3 linked regions of the Drosophila melanogaster genome follow. The protein of the gene in region 2 purifies or fractionates together with the protein of the main gene of each other region. This does not show direct contact. Each region holds a gene or a part of one and is shown on either strand. Other genes may lie near its edges.

Region 1 (3,526 bases), on a different chromosome or scaffold from region 2:
TGTCCTCAGAATAACACATTTTCAGGGATGGTCAATGACAGTCGCTTCGATTACTACAGCTTATATGGAAGGCCAACAGGTTAAATGAAGTATCTAGCGTATCTGTTTGGTTGAATAATTTTGTGGTTCTTGCTAGTCGTAAGGAACTACAGCTGCATACCGGAGGTTGGGCTGTTCGTGGTGTATACTCAGCCTAGTGCCTACTTGAATGCCTCACTGACCTGTTCAAACTCCTCGGAGTTCACTGGTAGTCTGGCCCACATCGCATCCGAACACAGAACCAGTTTATTGGCCCAATGGCTAGTGGAATTCAACAGGAAATCACAGTCTCTGGCAGAAGGTAATGTCTATCTGGCCTATGTGGGTTTGGCCTACAACAGCTCAACGTCATTGAGCCCACTGGACTTCAGGAACTCCCAAGGGGAGAGCTTGCAGTGCTTTCTTTACAGAGCCTGGGATGGTGGTCATCCTCGAGTTGGGTAGGCTGACAGTTTATTAGGTTAGCCGCCAATGCTATCTTCTCTAAATCTAACCGAATTTGCAGTGGTGATCTGGGCAACGCCAGCTGCGTGGCCTTGACGCCGCAGGGAACCTGGCAAACCCTGAACTGCGACCGGGAGCTGCCCTTTATCTGCGAAATCCACACGGCCCGGTCAACTTTCGGCTGGGAGCAGTCCAGTTCCGAGCTGGACATCGGCCCAAATGCAGTCTTCGAGTGCGGAAGAGACCGAGTCTGAGTCTATGGCAGCATGGATATTCGCAGCCGTTTTATTCACTTAAGCAGTTTTCAAAACACAAAAGCCAAATAGATATAGTTTAGTGGTGATTGCCCGCCTCTCGCACGCCTTGTGGAAAGTGTAGAATCTGTTGCAGATGCAGGACCACCGGGCAGCGCCGCTTAGTGGTACTTGTAGTTCCTGTGGTGCTTCAACTTGGTGTAGTTAATCAGATAGAAGAACGTCATGCTGGCGACGGTCAGCTGGAAGAAGGGAGCGATCCCGGCGCGCTTTGGGAACACGTACTTGTGCTGCCAGCGCCACCAGGCACGGCTCACAGCTCCGGCCACAGCGTTGGGGGTCTTGTTGCGGCGTCCCAGCCAGGCGCCGATCTCGCCCAGCTTGACCTGGCCGAAGGGCACATCGGCTGCGGATCGGAGAGAGCGGAGAGGTCGGAAAGTTGTTTAAATTATGTAAAACGCTGCACATTTTTGGGCAGTGCAAATGTGCTCTGTGCCTGCCGCAAAAATTACGTAACCTGCTCACCTTTGCCGTAGAAGCGAGCGGGGTCGTAGGGCCCGTGCACCTTGGGGTTGTACTCAGCTGGATAGTCACCGAATGCCATCGCGCTGGTTTGGTTGAGATATATTCTTAAATCGGATTCTTATGAAACATAAAATTACGCCTGCTACTTACTTCCTTCGATACTGACAGTATGACCAAAGCGGCGAGAGCTGGGATTTTCATCGACCAATATACCGAAATATACTATGTGCGAATTTATTGTGTGCGTCTCCGCTAACAGGGAGGATGTATTCGCTACGTCATCGATACAGCGAATATATCGATGCCCGATGCACGATGCACTTCTCACATCACTAAGCTCCAGTATATACAGAAATCAAATAGGATTTTTGCAAGCCTGGGCATTCGAATCAGAATCCAGCCAAAGCGAATCCAGTGTGTAAACAAAAACAATGAAACTGGAGGAGTTGCTGACCAAGGGAGCCTCCTCTCCGCCGGAGGACGACGACGAGGACGAGAAGGTGGAGCTGAAGCCGCAGAAGTCAAGCAGCGCCACCGCGGACGAGGGGGCGGAGAACGCGGAGGATGCGGCCGAGGATGCTGGCGAGAAGGAAGGCGCGGGTGGCAAGAAGAAGGGCACGCGCAAGAAACGCTCCCTTAACTGGGAGGAGGCGGAAAGGGGGCTGCTCCTTGAGGTCATCAAGTCCAAGGTGGCCTTCGTGGAGAACCGGAGCGTGGACGCCAAGAGCATAAAGGCCAAGCGTCTGGCCTGGTCGCAGATCACCAAGCAGTAAGTTGCGCCATTGGGCAGTGGAGCTCGTCTTATAATGGCCCTTCACTCCTTCCATTCCAACCCCCCATCCAGGTTCAATGCCCTTAACTTCCGCCATCGCCTGCTGGAGCAGATCCAGGTGCAGTGGCGCAGCATGAAGAACTCCGCCAAGCGGGAGCACCAGCAGAAGCATCCGAAAACGGAGGCCCTGGAAGGCATGCGGATGATCGAGTTCCTGGAGGAGATGCAGAAGGATCCGGTCACCTCGCGCAGTCAGACACGCAGCGCGAACACAAACGGCGCTCTTAAGAAGGAGCTCATGGACATCGACGAGGACGAAGACATGCCGCTGGCCGCTCTGCCCAACTCTACGAACGCCAGCGAGGACACGCTGCAGACCTCCACAATAGCCATCCCCTCGCCGCCGCCCTCCACTGCTGGCGGAGACGGGGACTCCCAGCAGGAGGGAAATCCCGCCCAGCTGCCAGCCCAGCGACGCAAGCGGACCAAGGCCAAGCAGTCGCCCTCGGGCGCCAAGACAGAAACGTCCGGCGAAACGGGGGAGGAGAACGAAAAGGGCGTAGGCCCACCACGAAAGCGGCGACAAAGGAATGTGAGTTTGAACACAAGCCGCAAGTTTATTTATTATTATTAATTAAGGTTTAGCTGAACAAGTTGCAAATTTTTGTGAAGGGGAATCTTAATCTTTCTTACTAATAATACTATCTCATCGTTAACCAGCTCTCACAGGCCCAGTCGCTGCTGTCCGACGAGAACGAAGCCTCCACCAACGCAGCTCCGAGCGCCACCCCAGTTGCAGACACAAATAGCCAGTCCTTAGATTTGGTCGCCGCCACGGAGATAGAGCAGAAGTACAAGCAGGACCTGTTTAGGCTGCTCAAGCAGGCCCGTCTGGCCGAAATCGACTACGCCCGGCGGGAACACGAGCAGAAGCTGCGCTTCGAGCAGATGGAGCAGGAGGTGAAGATGGCCTACTACCGGCAGGAGCAGGACCTCAAGCTGCGGCACATGCGCGAGGAGCACGACATCCGGCTGCGGCAGCAACGACGGGAGCACGAGGCGCGCCTGGGGATCTACTCGCTGAAGAGCGGTGGCCTGAACGGAAGCATACAGGATCAGAGTTCAGCAAAGTGCAATGCCAAAGCGGACTACAACAATGTCCACGAGGTCGGGCCATCGACCAGTGCGGAGGGGGCGCTGGCGCTCAATGCCGCCTGCAACTAGGGGCGTGGCTGTTGGCCCATATGCATATACAATACGAAGAGAGCCAGCAATTAGGGTGTAAGGCATTTAGAGGAAACATCAACAGTACTTTAAAATTTAGCTTGAAATATGTTTAGCGAAATGTAGCTCTTCCGGTCAGCCAGAGTAACCGGAAACGGAAACGTAAACGCCGGACGCGCATACAATACTCATCGACACACTCAAGTTGCCACTCGGACGAATGGACTGTTGTTTATTGTGCAATTCGCACGAGACGAACTCACAGGCA
Region 2 (6,912 bases):
ATTTGAGCCAAACTTGTTTCGAGATTGCAGATGCACTAATATAGATATTTATGTATGTATGTATGTAGTTTCTCAACAGATGCATTCCATGCATGGATCAATTAACAAACCATAATAGACCGCGACAAGATCATAATCACGATTAGTGGCAGAGTGCAGGTTAGCCAACCATTTCTTGGATATTACTTGATTTCCCACCAATCTGATCTGCCCACTGAAAATCTCTTTTTTTTTTGGTATAAATTAATACGTTTCTTAACCGAAAAGCATAACCAATTTGAACAATTTGATAGTATTTTATAAAATTGTTATAAACTGAGTAGAAATATGATTCTAAATGGATATATATATATATGCACATCAGTTGATTATGTTGAATATTTGTGTAAATAAACATATGTTTATTGTTGTAAGTATGTAATACTTAGTGGCTATTTAAAATGCGCCAACAGATATCACTGATCCGAACCGTTGGCCAATTTTACAACATCTTTGGCCTATTGGGCCAACATAATGCGTTTTACATGGCTCGAAGATGCGACTGGTGGCTTGCATAATAATCGGCTCGTTTTATAAATACCTGCATATAGATGGAATATAGCCACCATCAATGAGATGGTTCGGCTTGACAACAGATTCCGATTCAGATTCACCTTGAAATTGCCGGATGAGGTGAAATGGAATGGGTTGGTTTGGTTTCGATTGGATTGGATTGGGTTGGGTTGGGTTAGGTTTTCGCTTTGGTTTATGACAGACTGCCGGCCGCCTTGTGAGGCAACCGCTTTGCAGCACGCCCGTGTATGCAAATTGAATTGACCAAAATCCAAAATCCAAATCGAAATCAAAATCAAAATGAAAACGAAAACCTAAACCATAAAACATAAGATGCCGAATAAAAAAAAAAATACGAAATATGAAAGCCCCATTCCGAGCTTATCACTAACGTAGCGTCTCATTTTCATGCTAATTGTGGGATCCCCATTCGGAATTTGGGAAATGCAGCGTAAGACTTGATGAAACTGAAACTGGTAGCTGGTAGCTGGTAGCTGGTAGCTGGTAGCTGGTAGCTGGTAGCTCCGAATCCAACTGGCTATGGAAGAACCAACCACGACGATTGGCACTTTTGGGTGCGTCCAGCAGCATTTGGTGAAAATCGAAATGAAAACGAAAGCCCATCATCATGATGCTGCTCATCATCGTGGCGATGATGATGATGGCGTTGATGGGCAGTTTGGAAATGTTAATGAAACGCCTTTTGTTCGCCCTTGCTGGCTTATATCGTATAAAAGACTTGGTCTCCAATCGATCGGACATCAGTCGCTTGCTCATCGGCACTCAAGGCGTTTTTTTTTTTTTGGAATTGGTATCATCGCATCAAGTGGATTAGTAGTCAGCATGAAGGTGAGCTGCTCACAATGTCCTGTGCCGGCAAATATCCTCTTCTAGTTTTTTTTTTTTTATTTATCCAAACTGATTTGAAAAGTGACAAAGTGGCAAGAGCATCCTGAGCTCAGTTTAAATTCTTTCGAACTTTCGAAGAAGTGATAGTTAATATTCAAATACAAAGTGTGCTGAAGAATATCAGAAGATTGAAAATGAAAATATTTAAACAAAGAATGAATACAAAGTATATCCATTTGGAAAATACAGTCTATGAAGATCAAAGATCCTTTAAAGATATAGAAAAAAAAACCAGCGATAAAACTCTACTTTCTAATTGGAAAACATAACAAAAACTTAATGAACTTTATATATTCTTTAAAATCCTCTAAGGATGCAACATGAAACATGAAACTAAATCGCTTCTTATACTCTGCCATCCTTCCAGGTCTTCGTTTGCATGTGTGCTCTGTTCGCTGTGGCCAACGCTGGCTTCCTGGGACTCCTCGGCGGTGGCGGCGGTGGAGGCGGTGGTGGCGGCCTTAACCTCGGAGGCGGTGGTGGCAACGGAGGCGGCGGCGGTGGTAGTGGCGCTCGCGGCTATGGCGGCCATGGACCCAGTGGCCCAGTCCAGGTGGTCAAGGTGATCCATCAGCAGGGCGGCGTTGGCTACTCCTCCGGCGCTAGCTATGGCAGCGGCTATGGCTACGAGGCGGCTCCCCAGATCTTCAAGGTGAAGGTCATCTCTGGCGGCAGCGGCGGTGGCTATGGACCCGCTCCTGGACCCGCTTATCTGCCTCCAGCTGGGCCCGCCCCCTCCTCCGTCAAGGTGATCAAGATCCTGCAGGAATCCGCACCCATTGTGAGTGCCCCGCTGGTCGAGAGCGCTCCGCAGATTGTCAAGGTGGTGAATGTGGCATCTGGACCCGTGGCTGGACCATCCTTCATCGGCGGCTCTTCGGTTGGCGGCGGTGCCGTGTCCCAGGTCATCAAGGTCGTTCACGAGAGCCACGACAGCGGCATCTCGTCGGGTGGCTACTCGTCGGGTGGCTACTCCTCCGGTGGTTACTCTTCGGGTGGAGCCACCAAGGTGGTGCGTGTGATCCATGAGCACTCCGCTCCAGCTGCCGGTCCAGCCTATGCCCCCATCGATGTGCCCGCACCAGTGGCTGCTCCAGTCGCTTCCTACCTGCCTCCTCAGGAGATCGCTGCTCCGGCTCCAGTTTATGCTGCTCCAGCTCCGGCTCCAGTTTATGCTGCTCCTGCTCCCGCTCCTGTGTACTCCGCACCTGCTCCCGCTCCAGTGTACTCCGCTCCTGCCCCAGCTCCTGTGTACTCTGCTCCTGCTCCCGCTCCAGTGTACTCCGCACCTGCTCCCGCTCCAGCTTACTCCGCTCCTGCTCCCGCTCCAGTTTACTCCGCTCCTGCCCCAGCTCCAGTCTATGCCGCCCCAGCACCCGCTCCCGTCCTGAGTGTGCCACATCCCGCTCCTGCACCCGTTTTTGCTCCCGAGGAGCAGTCCCTGCCCATCGGTCACGCCCCTGCCCAGACCTACGGCCCACCGGGATACTAGAACAATTCGCCAATCTATCGGAGGACCTTCCTGCTAACTACATCGACAGCATATTACCATTCCCACACAACGCCATGAGTTAATTTAAGACATTTTTTTTACAACACATTTTTTTGTTACCAAATACATAGACAATTCCAAAAAAAAAAAATCCAATTTTCTTTTTTCAATTCTATAGTATTTATCATCTTTATAAAGAGTTTCAAAATGGATTATCTTCTATCTGCCAAAAGTATAATTTTAGCCATTGATTAATTCTTGTTTCCATAAAAAAAAAACAAAGTTGCTTTTTATTACTACTTTTGAGAGAAATTTAAACAATCATCCGAGATAAGATATGCGAACTATCCATGAATGCAACACACCAGATGAAATACAAACTATACTATTTGTTAAGATGAAAGACGAGCTCATTTACAAATTGTAAGTTTTTATGCTTATGCGATTTGCATAAATTGGCAAGGGAAAAAGAAACGACGTTCGTCTCTTTCGGCCAAAATGCAAATCACTCATATTTTTGACTTAAAGATTGCCAAAGCATTATCATATCAACGGTCTATCCCACAGCGAGCAAATATTACACATTTCTCTTCACCAGCTCACATACATATATTATAAACTATATAAACACACAGTTTAGCGGCATAACATGAAAAAAAAAAGAAAAAAAAATCATTTGCCTGGTGGATCACGGGTCATTAATACGATATTATGATTCGCTTTTTTATTGTTTCATAACTCTCTGGCTTTTTAAGGTGATCGTTATGTTTTTTATTTATTTCAGACACAAAGCATCGATTGTGGTTTATTGGTGGCGGTTGTGTGGTGATTACGTCTATTCGGCAGCCTTGACTAACGCTTCGGCGACCTCCACGGCAATGGCAGCCTGGGCCTTGGCCTGCAAAACAAGGATCGTGGTTAAGTCTCGTTTAGATAGCTTCAGAATGTGCAATACAGAATGCAAAAGCAACTCAAACATAAGTTTACTCATGGAAATATCGAATGTGTAAGCGTTAATTTAAGAGCAAACTTGTTTGTACAAAGAAAGTATATCAAGTAAAAAGGATGGGCACATAGAAATCGTTTAGTAACTTAAATGCCAGTTGGCGTGAATGGTGGAAGCAGTGTTTCCATCAAAAGAGTCTGTTTGAGTTGTACTTTCTGGACCACTACTTCTACTTTCTAGACACTACTCTACTATGCAACTTCTTGACTAGATTCGCACCTTGTCGTCGCCAGCGGAGCTAAGCTGTGACTGGTATTTCGCGAGCAGCTGGCGCGCCTCATTGGCATCGATGTCCTCGATGTTGTGGGCCTCCTCGGCCAGAACCTGAACGGAGGAATCCTCGTTGACGGTGACGGAACCGCTGGAGACGAAGAACTTGAGGGTCTTGCCATCGTTTTCCACCACCTGGACAACGCCGGGCTTCAGGACAGCTGCAATAGCAAAGAGATTCGCCAACGGTGATATAACCATCTCGAGGCAACTGAAACTGAATGATCGAACTTACCCAGAGTGGGCACGTGCTTGGCCAGGATGCCGAAGGATCCCGAGAAGGAAGGCACATCGATTTGGCGCACCACAGCGGCATCGTAGAAGGTTTTGTTGGCGGCGGCGAAGGTCAGCTTCATCTCATCCGAGTAGCTGCGGTTCTGGGCCAAGCGAGCGCCGCGGGCGGCCAGCAAACGGGCGTTCTTAACGAAGGACATTTTGGGCTGCAACGAGAGGATAAATTCAGGATTAAAAGTCTTTTCTGCCACAGCCAGCCAGCATAACAACAAAATAACCAAATTATGTAACTTTGTAGGTTAGGCGGCGGCTGCTATTGCGTTTCCCCAGCTCAAATTTCGATCGCTTTTCATTGCAAATCCTCGGGCACTGTGATCAGTGGACTACCCCTCAATTTATCAGTTATTTTCACCTGTTTTTATTTCGGTTTGATAGCGAAAAACACGAGAAAACTTCAGTGATCAGCCGCTGTTTTTGCGAAAAACGTTTAAGTCAGAGTGACCAGCCGGGAATACAAAACTTATCTAGCAATAACGCGTTTTTACGATATTTAGAGGACAAGACAAAATACAAAATTTTCAATACGCAACAGGCTCTTACAAAATAAAAAGTGCAATCATTTCACACATAATAATTAAGTGTTTTAATTATAATAATAAAGTGCCTCAATCAATAAACAAATTATATAGACCAATAAACTTTTAGTGGCAACACTTATTCTTTTAATTCATTAGTCTGGCATCGCCAATTAAAAGCTTAAATTTTTTGTATATTGCTTTTGATCGTACATTAAAAATGATATTAAAAGAAAAACTATTTATTCCAAAAATTATAATTTAAAAAATGAAATTTCCTTTATTAGATTAAGACTTTGATTAATAACGGTGTGTTTACATGGCATAACCATGCGACCATTTATACTGTTATGAATCTGGTGTTTTTGATTTTGTTTAGTTTCTTTTTCAGTATTTCCTTTTTTATTAGATCCTTTTATTAAAGTTCGGAGTTTTTTCGTATCTCACGAATCTTTTACCCGCGCAACATTCAAAACTGGCGTTAGCGACTATTTTTAGCCACCGCGCTACCTGGTCACACTGGCACAGGCAGCACAACAACAAATTCCAATTGGAAATAGAAACGAAACAATGCAGATTGCTGCATTATTATACAAGTGAAGAAGAAGAGAGTGCCATTTTCGGCTGCTATTTGTGCACGTCTCTGTGACTGTGTGTGAGTGTGTGCGTGTCGCGTGTGTGCTCTGCGCTGAGGTGTTTGTTGGCGAACGACAGCGAAAGGCGACAAGCAAACAAACAAACAAACAAAACACACAGGACGTAAGTGCTTGCAACATTTACCCAAGTTTGTCACCCACTCGCGCCCTCTCTGTCGCACCTGCAGGCGAAACGCAGTTGCGAAAAACAACAGTGTTTCCCCATGTTTGTGTTTGTGTGCATAGATAGCTGTCTATATATTTTTCGCTCTGCTTATTTTCTATTTTGTTTTGTTATATCTTCTATTTTGCTTGGCTCTTCGTGTATGTGTATAGGTGTCTTAGCAAATTGCGCCTTTCAGTTGGAAAAACTCTGCAAAAAATAGAAACAGAAAGCTTGCCTTAAAGTTCATTCCTCACACACACAGCTGACTTTGTTGTGGAAAAAGGGTGTGAAGAAGAGAAGGATTTTCTGCTTTTTGTTTGTTGCACACATACAGGCCCGCATACACATGTGAACGAGCAGCTGTAGCGCGCATGTGTATGTGTTTGTGTATTTTTGTTTACCTCTCTCTCCGCCGTCACACTCTCACTCACTCTCTTCTCCGCTGTCTTGCCCTCTGCCTGCGTCGCGGTCGCCAGTGGCGTCGCAACGCAATATATTTCATGTTATTTCTGATAAGAGAACTAACCGCAATCGGTCTATATAAACATATATACAACAGATCCGATCCTTAGCTATTGACCCCAAGCTATAGCGGTGCGAGCGGAACGGCAACATCGCAAAGAAGCAGCGGCATAAGACAACAACAATGTTGGGTCGTTGCTCCTCTTTTTGCTTCTTCGCTTTCATCTTCTGCTCCTTTTGTTTTTTGTTACGGTACTTTTAGATACTTCGAAAAGTGTATACCCTTCGTACTATCTGATTCAGGCAAAATTATATGTAGGTTTTCTTGTCATCCGATCTTTATGATTAGTTGTCAATCTCAACTAATTAAGAATAAAACAAATAATTAAAAACCCATAATAATTCTCAAAAGTAATGTTCAGCTTAGTGAAGTAAATGACATTCTACTTGCGTTTTAAAATTTGTTTTCTAATTAGTTCGTTTTGTTTTTTGGAACCAATGCCCCAAACAATACCCTACCTTCTGGTCAAATAAAAACAAATACATAGCAAGCGGTGAGAAACAACGCAAAAGTTGACTTTTTGGCTAAGAAGAAGAAGCCGCAGACGAAG
Region 3 (3,069 bases), on a different chromosome or scaffold from region 2:
AAAAATAAAACTATTTTCGTATGGCGTGCATATAGACGCTCGATCATTAGACGGCAGCAGAGCCGCCACTTGGCACAGTTTTCCAGAGCACAGATTGGACCATAAATCAATCGAACCAAATTAAATTAATTCAATTCAATTCCAATCCAAATCCCAAACAAGAACCAATCTCATCACGGCTCCATGTGTGCGGATCGGTATGTGAAAAGTGGATACACAAATTCTAGTCGATTTGTCTTTTTCCGCTTACTGGCGTTTCAATTCCACAACGACAGGAAAGGGAAAAAGGCGTATTTACTATGAGTTTGCTCAGCGATTTGCAGGTGATCCAGGTGTATATAGTATTAGTAAGTATTTCATCGTTTGGTGATATACACTCGAGAATATATTTCATCTGACTAATCAAAGTCAACTGACGCAACGACGCATTCAACTCATTTTACGGCTCATCTGCGATCATTATCATCAAAATCATGAGCATCTAACAAAAAGTCATAAAGTCGCCAAAGCCGAAGAACTCTAATTAAGTTTAAAGATAGAACTTTTCATGTTTTCTGTGCAGCTTCGTACGTTTTAATGATCTTTTGGTAATTAAAAGTTGTGAATGGCAGCGAAACTTTCAGTGCAGGTATATAAAATCGTACCGAAAATTATTCGGAAATAGCTTATAAAAATCTATTGAGTATCGGAACACACAGGGGGACAACACCCAATGACTAAATTCCTAAAATTACAGCATTTGGGAATACGTATTCCCATTCACTGGTACAAAGCACATTTGGAAATCAAACACCAAGGCAGAGAAAACTCAAAATCGTGCCAGCAGTCATGTGCTTAGTAATTTTTCTGATTGCTCAATACTCAAACGGTATTCAGGATTTCGATTAATAATTAATTATAACACAGCCCGAACAAAGAAACAATATTTGCCAGATTCCCCGATCATGCGGAATCGAACAAATTGCTTCGTCCGCCTTCAGCGATCCAATGGATCCAAATCGGGGCATCTTCGACTTGGCAAATGTATCGAAAATTAAATGTAAAATTTATTGTTGCATAAACAGAATGCCAGGAATCGGACCGCATCCGAATCGAACGATGCGTATGTGCCACCTTTAAGTATTCAGCCCTGCTCATCCAACCATCCCACCTCCATCTCCACCTCCGGGCCCATCCCCATGCCCATTCCCAATACCGTCCCCTTCTCCAGCTCCATCATATGGGTCCCCAGCATTTACATCTTCATCTGACCGGCTGGTACTGCTATGTGGAACGCATATAGTATGGTCGGCTGGAGAGGATGGAAGATTTGGTGCAGCCTCATGCCCACTGGCCAAAAATAACATCAATGGGAGCAGGCAGGAATCAGCGCGAAGACGGACGTCGTGTGTTTGCTTTGTTTATAGTTTTCGTGTAAACAATTGGCAGCGGAAAACCGACTTCCCGCCGTGTTGGCGTTCGAGAAAAATTGAATCTGGAAAATGCCCAAACAACACAAGCAGCTGAAGCTCAAACAATGTAATGAAAAGTGGCCAGGGCAACCGAAATAGAACTAATGCTTATTGGTCATTATTTTCCACAAGCTAAACGAATACCTTACGAAAAATGAAGTAAAAATCTTCGACTTAGAAATAATTTTTAAAAGTAACATATTTTCAGTGATCTTTTGAAATGACTGCAAAACATCTTAAACTTTTTTTTTTAATTCTCCCGAAACCGAATGCTACTATAGCAGAGATAAGTAAGTGAGACCCTGATCCGGGGTCGAACATAAATTAGGAATCTCAAATTGCAGGCCGAGATTCGAAATTGCAATGGGAGATGGCAGATGGGCCTGGGTAAGAAGCTCGCTCTTTAATTAATTCTTAGAACGGGTTTCAAGTAAATACCCGCGGACTCAATTTGTACATATGGAGTGTATGTAAGTGAGTGTCTGGATGCCGGACGATAACCGGTAAACAAGGCGACCAGCAATTCCAATTCCACTTCAGTTTTGGAAATATAAAGAGCAGTCTTCCCTCACTCGGAGTCAATTCAAAGCCAGCTTCCCCTCCAGACAGCAGCATGTTTAAGATTGTGAGTATCGCGCCGCCGAGAGGCGATCACTCCAAGGATTAGCCCATTCCTAAACCATCTTTCCAGCTCATCGTCGCCCTGTCCCTTTGCACGGCCGTCGTGCTGAGTGCTCCAGTGGACCACGTCACATCCACCACCCAGCCACCGGTGGCCATTCTCGAATCATCTCACGAAAAGCACGAGGATGGATCGTACAACTTCTCTTACCTCGGCGAGGACGGCACCCACAGAAGGGAGGAGGCCGTGGTCAGAAACCAAGGCACCGAGAACGAGTACCTGGAGATCAGCGGCTCCTACTCCTACTTCGATGCCAACGGACAGGAGGTGACCGTCACCTACAAGGCCGATGACCACGGATTTGTACCAGAGGGCGGAGCAATCCTGCCCCAGATTTCGCTGGCCGCCAAGCAGGTCAGCGAGCAGGTGCCCCAACCAGATCTTGACTATGCTAAGCCTCCTAAGGTCTAATAAACGAGGCACTGAAATGGAATCTAATTGGTGTTGTTTTAGTTGTGTTCTCCAGCAAAACATCCAGATATAATTGCAAAGTAATGGCTGAGAACTCGAAATCTCCGATGAGGGAAAGGTGATTCAATATTTGAATGCTGCCTCCATTCAAATGAAAGATTTGGTAGTTACAATTTTACTTCCTTCATTTAATGCAGAAACAATTTCAACTACCAATAATAGCTAGAGGACCGCCTGCTCGGCCATCTTGGGGTTCGTAGAGGTTAACAGTGCGCTGAACAAATTGAAAATACAAAAATACAACTAGGAAGGTGGGAAAGGAGGTCGGGGCGGGCAGGGAAACTATTATAATACATAAAAGCTCAGAGATTAAATTAAAAACAATGCAATAAATAAGAATTCGATTTCGTCGAGAGAGAAGTGTGTGGAAGCAGAGCTCCATCACTTCACTTCACTTCATTTTTTCACAGGCGTGACCGGGGGCGATCGGTAGGAGTTGACCAGACCACCACCCGAGTTGGGCTT

The links.
Region 1: the proteins of ATPsyndelta (region 2) and ATPsynF purify together in Drosophila melanogaster (affinity purification with mass spectrometry; 2 studies listed by BioGRID, with this or other methods). This does not show direct contact.
Region 3: the proteins of ATPsyndelta (region 2) and Cpr78E fractionate together in Drosophila melanogaster (co-fractionation; one study listed by BioGRID). This does not show direct contact.

Annotation. Positions count from the first base shown.
Region 1 is NT_033778.4:24,598,355-24,601,880, forward strand, and holds ATPsynF (ATP synthase, subunit F), read right to left. Parts: upstream 1,468-3,526; 5' UTR 1,413-1,467; exon of another isoform or gene 1,346-1,412; 5' UTR 1,342-1,345; coding exon 1,263-1,341; intron 1,144-1,262; coding exon 899-1,143; 3' UTR 738-898; downstream 1-737. Other genes in the region: CG13587 (uncharacterized protein), read left to right, coding at 1-79, 137-479, 545-737; CG3548 (uncharacterized protein), read left to right, coding at 1,694-2,031, 2,107-2,626, 2,755-3,258. UniProt on the Drosophila melanogaster protein: Mitochondrial membrane ATP synthase (F(1)F(0) ATP synthase or Complex V) produces ATP from ADP in the presence of a proton gradient across the membrane which is generated by electron transport complexes of the respiratory chain.
Region 2 is NC_004354.4:10,211,038-10,217,949, reverse strand, and holds ATPsyndelta (ATP synthase, delta subunit), read right to left. Parts: upstream 4,981-6,912; 5' UTR 4,876-4,980; intron 4,670-4,875; 5' UTR 4,664-4,669; coding exon 4,465-4,663; intron 4,391-4,464; coding exon 4,179-4,390; intron 3,852-4,178; coding exon 3,789-3,851; 3' UTR 2,954-3,788; coding exon of another isoform or gene 1,829-2,953; 3' UTR 1,402-1,828; coding exon of another isoform or gene 1,396-1,401; 3' UTR 557-1,395; downstream 1-556. Other genes in the region: CG2962 (uncharacterized protein), read left to right, coding at 1,396-1,401, 1,829-2,953.
Region 3 is NT_037436.4:21,665,952-21,669,020, reverse strand, and holds Cpr78E (cuticular protein 78E), read left to right. Parts: upstream 1-2,040; 5' UTR 2,041-2,064; coding exon 2,065-2,076; intron 2,077-2,142; coding exon 2,143-2,544; 3' UTR 2,545-2,569; downstream 2,570-3,069. Other genes in the region: CG43980 (uncharacterized protein), read right to left, coding at 3,001-3,069.